Cricetulus griseus: one gene and its partner. The protein of the gene in region 2 interacts with the protein of the main gene of each other region in a pairwise test. Links are inferred from orthologs where the notes say so. Each region holds a gene or a part of one and is shown on either strand. Other genes may lie near its edges.

Evidence for each region. The genes of interacting proteins can lie anywhere in the genome.
Region 1: the proteins of Otx1 (region 2) and Rgs17 interact in binary tests that used the Homo sapiens proteins (3 or more experiments, as listed by UniProt). The two-hybrid records come from large-scale screens. The link is inferred for Cricetulus griseus from reciprocal best matches to the Homo sapiens genes OTX1 and RGS17.

Annotation. Positions count from the first base shown.
Region 1 is NC_048595.1:283,334,105-283,338,093, reverse strand, and holds part of Rgs17 (regulator of G-protein signaling 17), read left to right. Parts: intron 1-3,357; 5' UTR 3,358-3,382; coding exon 3,383-3,501; intron 3,502-3,989. UniProt on the Homo sapiens protein: Regulates G protein-coupled receptor signaling cascades, including signaling via muscarinic acetylcholine receptor CHRM2 and dopamine receptor DRD2.
Region 2 is NW_023276807.1:84,695,166-84,699,658, forward strand, and holds the start of Otx1 (homeobox protein OTX1), read left to right. Parts: upstream 1-1,430; coding exon 1,431-1,527; intron 1,528-2,370; coding exon 2,371-2,522; intron 2,523-3,874; coding exon 3,875-4,493. UniProt on the Homo sapiens protein: Probably plays a role in the development of the brain and the sense organs. Can bind to the BCD target sequence (BTS): 5'-TCTAATCCC-3'.

The DNA.
Region 1 (3,989 bases), on a different chromosome or scaffold from region 2:
TCTTACATAATTGAATTGGCTGTCTAGGAAATTGATAGTTTTGAATGTTGGATATAAAAGGCCTCATTGTCCTTTCCTTGTCATTAATAGGACTATGTGTAAACGTCACCAGCTTAACAAATATTTATGCCCGACCCCCCATATGCCACACATTATTACAACATTGAAAAGAAAGGCAGGAAAAAAATTCCCCATCCTCATTAAATTTACTTTTTACTTGGTTAGAAAAATGTGTAAAACTTATCGTAATCCAGTGATGATGTCCCACGGAAAGAAAAGTTAAGGGGAAAAAGATGACAGTTCACAATAGAAGCAGAATGAGTTGTAGCTGTAAATAAAACAGTCATAGAATGTGTCCATAGACAATGTGATATTTGAGTCAAGACATGAAAGCGTTGAGCCCCAAGGATGGAAGAAGTATAAAGGCTTGAACACACATGTTGGTACCAGACATGGCTGAGGATAGCCAGGAAGTCAGCGATTTAATCAGAGTACAAGATGAGGAGAAATGTGCACTAGTCAAAGAAATGATGAAGGCAAGAATTTTGGCTCCACTCATCAGTATGATGAGAAAATGCAGGGAGCTGTTTGAGCAGGGTCAAATGGAAGACTCTGCAGAAATGATTGATCTGTTTTTCTTCCTCTTTTAAAAAATAATTTTTATTTAAATTAAAAACAATCTTATTTTACATACCAATTTCAGTTCCCTCTTCCTCCCATCCTCCCATCCTCCCATCCTACCCCCCACCCACTCCTCAGGTCAGACTTTGATGATCCCTCATGGAAGGCCTGATCCTCCCTTGTCTGTATTTTAAAGAAAAGTGAGCTGCTTGTTAGGAGTAATTGTGATGGAATGGGAAGAGCCAGGAGGCAGAGCCAGAGGGAGGACCGAGGAGACCAGTTAACAGGCCTCACATTTGCCAATCTGTTGATGAGGGGTCAGGATAGAATAGAGGGGCCTGAGAGGAATACAGAATGTTGGTCTGAAAGATTAGAATGTCAGGCTGTTTCACTTACTGAAATTAAGAAAACTGGGAGAAATAAAGTTTGGGAAAAGATAATAGATTAGGACTTGTTATATTTGAGGTGCCAAGTTGAGAAATCCACAAAGAGATGTCAACCAGGCTGGATTCTGAAAGGAAAAAAAAAAAATCTCAATTGGGCATCATATTTTGAGGATGTTTTTATTTTAGTAGAAGCCTAGTAGATCTACTTTTTAAAGAATCAATGATGTCAGAAAGAAAGAAAAAAAAACAATCAAATGCAGGATAGATCATTGTGGCGATCCTAATTTTGAAGGTGAAGGAGATGAAAAGAAAACACCCATGTTGGCCTGGAAGAGACAGGGGAGATAGAAAGGACATCAGTGAGGGTGGTGCCCAGGAAAGTAAGCAAGGATAGTACTCCCAAGAGTCATCCGTGTCTGTCTTACTCATTGTGGGCTGCTGTAACCAATTTCCATTGGCTTGGTGGTTTATAAACAAGGGGGGTGTATTTATCGTGGTTTTGTGGGCTGGGAATCAGCCTTTGGAGTCCAGTATGGCCAGGTTCTGGTGAACTGCTGACTCCTATTAGTATCCTCACATGGAAGAAGGCAGGAAACTGTCCTGGGGTCTGTTATATAAAGGTAGTAATTTTACTCACATGGAGTCCGTCCTCCTAATTTGATTACCCCCAAAGCCTCACCTTTTTATTACCATTGCACTAAGGACCAGGACAGGAATTTAATGTATGGATCTGGGGTGTAATTTGGTCCATTTTAATGCTGAATGCTACCAATAAGCCTGCTGTGTCTAAATTTATTCCATCACTATAACGAAATACCCAGAGCTCAGCGATGTATAAAGAAAGGCTTGCTTTGGACCTTGCAGTTCTGGAGGCTGGGAACTTTGAAGATAAAGCCCCAACATCTGCTTAGTTTCTGATGTAGGCCACATGCTAAGTCAATACAGGGCAGAAAACAGACAGCAAGCAGGCATATGTGAAACCGTAGACTGGGGCAAGCTGATGTAAAATGACCCTCTCATGTGAGGAGTTAAGTCTTGTTGGAAGTTCATTCCTGTTTTCACAGGGGTAGATCCACCATGATCCAATGACTTGTTAGGGCTTTCATCACCCTACTGCCATCATGTTGAGGAGTTAAGCTTCAGTGTGAGTTTTACTGAGACAGTCTGACATTCAACCCACCATGGTTCAGTAAATAGGGGGAAAGTATGTCTCTTGGATTAAAAGATATGGGGACATTGTGATGTCTACAAGATCAGTTTCAATAGGAGGGAAGGTCAGTGTCCCCTTTCTCTAGTTTACATAGCTTTAAATTTAGTTCTGATTCTTTCTAAACAGAGAAACTGTGGGCTCTATCTTAGCCAGTCATGAAGTCTGGTGTCATATACCAATTTCAATGCTTAATTGTTAACACGACATGGCTTCTAACTCTGATTTCATTTTCCTGTGACTAGAGTCCAGCAGGCTTAAGTAATATATGGAGTCTGTCAGAAATAACCCCCACTCCTGGGTTTTCACTTAGCTGAATATAAAATTCCCGAGTGTCCATTCTCTCTCAGCATATGGAAGTATTATTTTTCCTCCCCACTACCATGCTTGTTAACAGCTTCTATCAATCAAAATGTTATTTCTCTGATATTAATCCGACATTCCCCCCTTGGCTTTGTAAATCTGTGTCTTACTGTATGTGTAAGTGTGGGTTTATTTTTTATCTTATTCATCCTGCTCAGCATGTGGTGTGTCCGTTCACTGTGAGTCTCTGTTTTGTTTTCTTCTGAGAAGTTCCCAGCCAACTCCCCTTAAAATATTACATCCCTGACAGTCTATTAATTCTTTCCTCAGGCTAATTGTTATGTGTGTGCTGGGACCTCTGTGTTTCCCCACTGTTTGTGCCCAATCTTTTAAGCTTTAATCTTTTATTTTTGTCTTTAACTGCATTTTCATCTATTTCTTGATACTATAACTTAATTCTTCTGGAGGTTTTTTTTTTCCAAATACTGTTTTGGATTTATTTATTTTATGTGCATGAGTGTTTTGACTGCATGTGAGTATGTGCATCATCTGTGTGCAGTGCCTGCAGGGGCCAGAAGAGGGCATCAGATCTCCTGGAACTGGAGTTGCAGGCTGCTTGCAAGTCCCTTCGTGGGTGCTGGGAATTGACCTGGATCCTCTGCAAAAGCAACCAGTGGTCCTAACCACTGAGCCATCTCTCCAGCTCCTGGGGCTTATTCGGAGAAGAGATCATTCCAGTGTTTTGGGATTTTCATTTCTGGTTAATCATGTCTAATCTTGTTTCCCTTCACTTGCCTTTATGATGGCCTTTCACACCTTGTATTTTCTGTCTCCCTCTAGCCAGCTGGCTTCTGAAGCAGCTGAAATGAGAAAAAGGCAGCAATCCCAAAATGAAGGAACACAGGCTGTGTCTCAAGCACCCGGAAACCAGAGGCCCAACAACACCTGCTGCTTCTGCTGGTGCTGCTGCTGTAGCTGCTCCTGGTAGGTCCATACTAGACCCAGTGTAAGTGCATGTGCCAAAGCTTCATCCCATAAAAACCTGACAACCTGTACTACTTGCCCACTGGGCATGGAGAAATTTCTGAAAACCATCACTGACGTAAGGCACACATCCCATAAGCAAAATTAACTCCCTCAACACTGACATTAAAATGTTGGTAAGGTAAAAAATAGAAAATTACTTATGTCATGTTTTCTTCTGTACATGCTTCTTATGGATGTGGGTAAAAATAAGATCATAATTATAAGATCACCTGTCTATAAACAACAGGGTCATGATGGCTCAAGAGTCAGGAATATTAAGGGAATAGCCAATGCGATTGCACCTAGTGTTAAATGTAGTGGATTTTTTTTTATTAATTACATGCTTCCTCGTAGGAGTTTGTTGCCTTTGGTTGTATAATCAGAGCACTGTGAGTCAGAGTGGTAGCCTTAGCCACAGCGCTCTTGCCAGCAAAGGCATGGTGTGA
Region 2 (4,493 bases):
CACGCAGCACCTTCGCAGAACCGCGGCGGCTGGTGGCCTGTGGTTCTCCGGCCCAAGTGCGCTGTTTCCCTTGTGGTTCCGTCCGCCTTCCGCGCCTGCTGGTCTCCCTTAGTCCAGGCCGCGGGACCCCAAGGACCGAAGCAGGGGTTGGAGTTGGGATGGGAAAGCTACTTAAGTCCTGCCTCCTTTTTCCCTGAGTTCCCACCCTGGGCTCCCTGTAAAGCCGGGTGTAGCTAGAAGCCCCCCTCTCGGGTCCCAGCCCTACCCCCCCAGAACCCCTTCTTCCGCTGGAGAAGAGCGCCAGGGGCTCGCAGTGTCTTCGGCCGAGCCTAGCGCTCCCAGCTTGGGTGTGCGGGAGCTTTCCGACTTGAGGCCTAGTTCTCTGCTCTCCACCGAGTTCAGGAGAGGACGGCGAGGAGCCCACGCGATCCAGGGTGCTCTGGCTTCTGAACTCCCCAGCATGCTTTGAGCCGCTGGGCTGGTCATCCTTTATCAGACCCTGGTGGGACTCGGTGTGCTCTCTCGGACTTGGTAGAAAGAAGGTCGGGCCTGCGTGGGCTTAGGAGGACGGGTGACCGTCTTTGAGGCACCCCTGACCTTGGGCGGCTTCTTGAAACTGCCACTTCTACTGTGGCGCCTTTGGCATCTTCTCGCCGCCTCACCCGGGCCTGGGCCACATCTACCCTAGAAGTGCGTTGAAATTCCGGTTCACCCATCTCCTAGCGTCAGGGGCCCAGAGAGGTCAGATAGAATGGTGATTGGGACTCTGGGGGAGGGGGCTGCTCTGGAGATCTCTGAAGGAATGATGTGACCAAAATGGGCAGTTGCCTGGGCGATCCAAGGGGTACTAACCTTGGACCTCTGTAGTGCCAGCGGTTTTGTCCCTCTTTCAAAAACATTTGAAACTTAAACAAAATAACCCGGTACGTACGCTCTGTACGGCCTGCCATCCCGGCGCCAAGTGAACATTTGCTTGAGCAAATTGCTTCCGCAGCACTAAAAAAAAAAGACTACACTTGGGATTTTGCACCCTCCCCGGTCCCGGCTCTCACCTCCTCGGCCTGATCGCGCTTTTAAGTTTTCTTTCCTGTTGACACTCAAGGAGTGTCTTTGGCCCTTGTCAAGCCCTAAAAGAGGAAGGAACGATGTGGGGAAAGTTTACTTTTCTAAGAAGCCGGCTTGCTGAGCTTGGAGGAGAAATTTCTTGGGTTGCCTGCCCTGTTAAGTTCCTAGCCTGCCCCCCTCCCCATTCTAGGATTATAGGAACTGAAAGCCAAAGTGACTGCGGGTGACGGTTTCCATGTGTCTCCTGTCTCCTTAGGCCAGGCCCCCAGAAGCAACAGCTTGAAGGACTTCGAAGTGGGAGCCCTGAACTGCTCCTGGCCCCAGGCCCCCTGGATCCGTCGGGGCGCCTCCACCCGGCAGTTAGCATGATGTCTTACCTCAAACAACCCCCATACGGCATGAACGGGCTGGGCCTAGCTGGCCCTGCCATGGACCTCCTACACCCCTCTGTGGGCTATCCTGGTGAGCGGTGGCCCTATGTCCCTACCCCCAAGCCTGTGCAAATATTGGGGGATTCCAGCTTTTAACGTTTGAGCCCACACAGTCCCCAAACAGGCCCAGGGATATGATTATCTCTGTGTCTGTTGCCCAGATCTGCTACAGGCTCTCCGGTTTGAGTTTAGAAACTGTGACCTACAACTTTTGAGCTTGTGGTGCCTGCTCCTGTTGTGGTCTCACATGCTAGAGAAAGCATGTTTGTCCACCGACGTATTTCCCACCGGTTGCTTTTTTAAAAAAATAAAATCTTGCCCGCCCAAACATTTCACGAGGAATCTGGACTCGATAGGCCCTAATGTAAACAGCCAAACTTCCCTTATGTCTAGCTGCCTTGAGAAGCAGAGCTCTTTCTCCCTAGTCAGAGTGCCCTAGAGACCAGGGACCTGACCCAGCTCTTCCGTGGTGGCAGACGACTCCAACTGAACCCCGAATTTATTTTCTGGATCCTACTTCTTTGCTTGAATTTATTCACTTGGAAAGCTTTCCCAGGTCCTGTTTCTACCTACCTCTGTTCTACTTCCTACCTTTCAGCCAGAAGTGGGCTTAGGGAGATGAGGAGGGGATGGCTTTGTTTTTTATCTGAGAGACAAGGAGGGCTGAGGCCCTGATGTTTCTTTCAGACAGGAGCCTCTAGCCCAATTTATACACTTTGCCCCACCTGTGGGCAGGGAAGTTTGCTTTTGCGCGGAGGTCGGCCTTTCCTTTCCATGGCAGGGTTCTGGACCTACCAGAAGACCTGCGTGTGGCCTCTAGCTCCAGTCCTCGAGGTCCACTGCTGACTCCAGGTGCCCTTGTATGTCCCCACAGCCACCCCGCGGAAGCAGCGACGGGAACGCACCACCTTCACGCGTTCACAGCTGGACGTGTTGGAGGCCCTTTTCGCAAAGACTCGCTACCCGGACATCTTCATGCGAGAGGAGGTGGCGCTCAAGATCAACCTGCCAGAGTCCAGAGTCCAGGTGCGTGGTCTTTGGGACTCTAGGATTAGGGTAGGGGCGCTAGGAGCGGTCGGGGAAGATCCGACCTGGGCCATCTGGTGTTGGGGCCCATTCACTGACTGGACAGCCCCTCTCTAACTCCCCCTAGTGCTGGGCTTCAGTCAGCTAAAGGGGGGTAACATTTTAAAAAGTAATGGCTTAGAGCCCAACATCTCTCTAGCCCTTGTCCCCAGGGCGCTTTCATTGTTGAAAGTCGGTTTTTGGATTTTGGAAAGGCCAGCCGTGTCCCCCGGGTGTAACTTTCCCAGAAGGTTAGATAATGGCCCCTGCTTCCTGGCTACAACAGAATTTGGCGTTTTCCTACTGAGCCTTAGCTCTCCTTCCGCTCTTGTCTTTCTTACCCTTCCCTTGAGTCCTGGGGATTCTAAAAGTGCAAGATGGAACTTGGTCACAGCCTAGCGCAATCTGCCTTGGAGTGTGCTCTGAGGGTGGAGTCGGTATGGTTTGGAGTTTTCTCCAGCCGAGTGGAGGCCGAGTGCAAAATCCAGATGCTGGGTTTACTGTTTCTAAAATGAAACAGTTCAGAAAATAGGAGTTCTGAGTTAGTCTAAAACTCTTCCTCGAGAGTCTTTTGTCTCAACTTCTTTCCCTGAAGGCTCGAGAAGGGACTGGGAATGCAATGCCCCGTGTCCGGGCCCCTCCAAAAGGAGTGCGAATTTATGACTTATCGTTCCATTTGGTACCCCACCTGGAGCCAAAAGGCCCAAGGAAACCTCACCCAGGCTTCCTTCACGAGAATCCCAGTACTGGAGTACTGCTTCCGTTCAGTTCAGCCTCCAGCCTTGCTTCTGTTCCCACCCAAATATTTGCCCTGCCCAACTCCAGTCTCCAGGAGCCGACTCGGTGAAACCCCTCGGGCCCCAGACTTGGTGACTGCCCTACTCTCCGATGTTCTGTACTCTCCGCTGTTTCCTGAGCTCTGTTCTTGGAAAACAGGGCCTCCAAACTAAAACGGGGCTGCGGGGAAGCAGCCAACTGCAACAGCTTAGAGATGGCTGAACTTCTGGCTGGACAGACGCAAACGTTCCGCCCTTGGGCAGAGTTGCGCTGGGCTTGGGGAGGTGCGCATCCCTCCTGCGGTGGAGGCTGACTGGGGGCTTTGCGCAGAAGGATGGGGGAGGGAGCCAGAGCTGGGGACCTAGCACGTGCGGGGGAGGGGACAGGGTCTGGCAGGGCCAGAGACTGGGAGGGGTAGAGGCTGGGATTGAGAGGTCCCTGAGATCCTGGGCGGGGTGTGAGTCCGAGGGGCGGAGGAGCTGTGAGCTCCACTAGCCAGCCCCCTGATCCCTTCTCCTTCACCCTGCTCACTGCAGGTTTGGTTCAAGAACCGCCGTGCCAAGTGCCGCCAGCAGCAGCAGAGCGGGAACGGAACGAAAAGCCGGCCGGTCAAGAAGAAGTCGTCTCCAGTGCGCGAGAGCTCGGGCTCGGAGAGTAGCGGCCAGTTCACGCCGCCTGCCGTGTCTAGCTCGGCCTCTTCGTCTAGCTCAGCGTCCAGTGCCTCCGCCAATCCCGCGGCTGCTGCGGCCGCGGGCCTGGGTGGGAACCCGGTGGCAGCCGCGTCCTCTCTGAGTACGCCTACTGCTTCGTCCATCTGGAGCCCGGCCTCCATCTCGCCAGGCTCAGCACCGCCATCCGTGTCCGTGCCAGAGCCACTGGGCGCACCGAGCAACGCCTCCTGTATGCAACGCTCGGTAGCCGCAGGTGCCGCCACTGCTGCGGCCTCTTACCCCATGTCCTATGGCCAGGGCGGAAGCTACGGCCAGGGCTACCCCGCGCCCTCTTCTTCTTACTTTGGCGGTGTAGACTGCAGCTCCTACTTAGCGCCCATGCACTCTCATCACCACCCGCACCAGCTTAGCCCCATGGCACCCTCCTCCATGGCTGGCCATCACCACCACCACCCGCACGCACACCACCCACTGAGCCAATCTT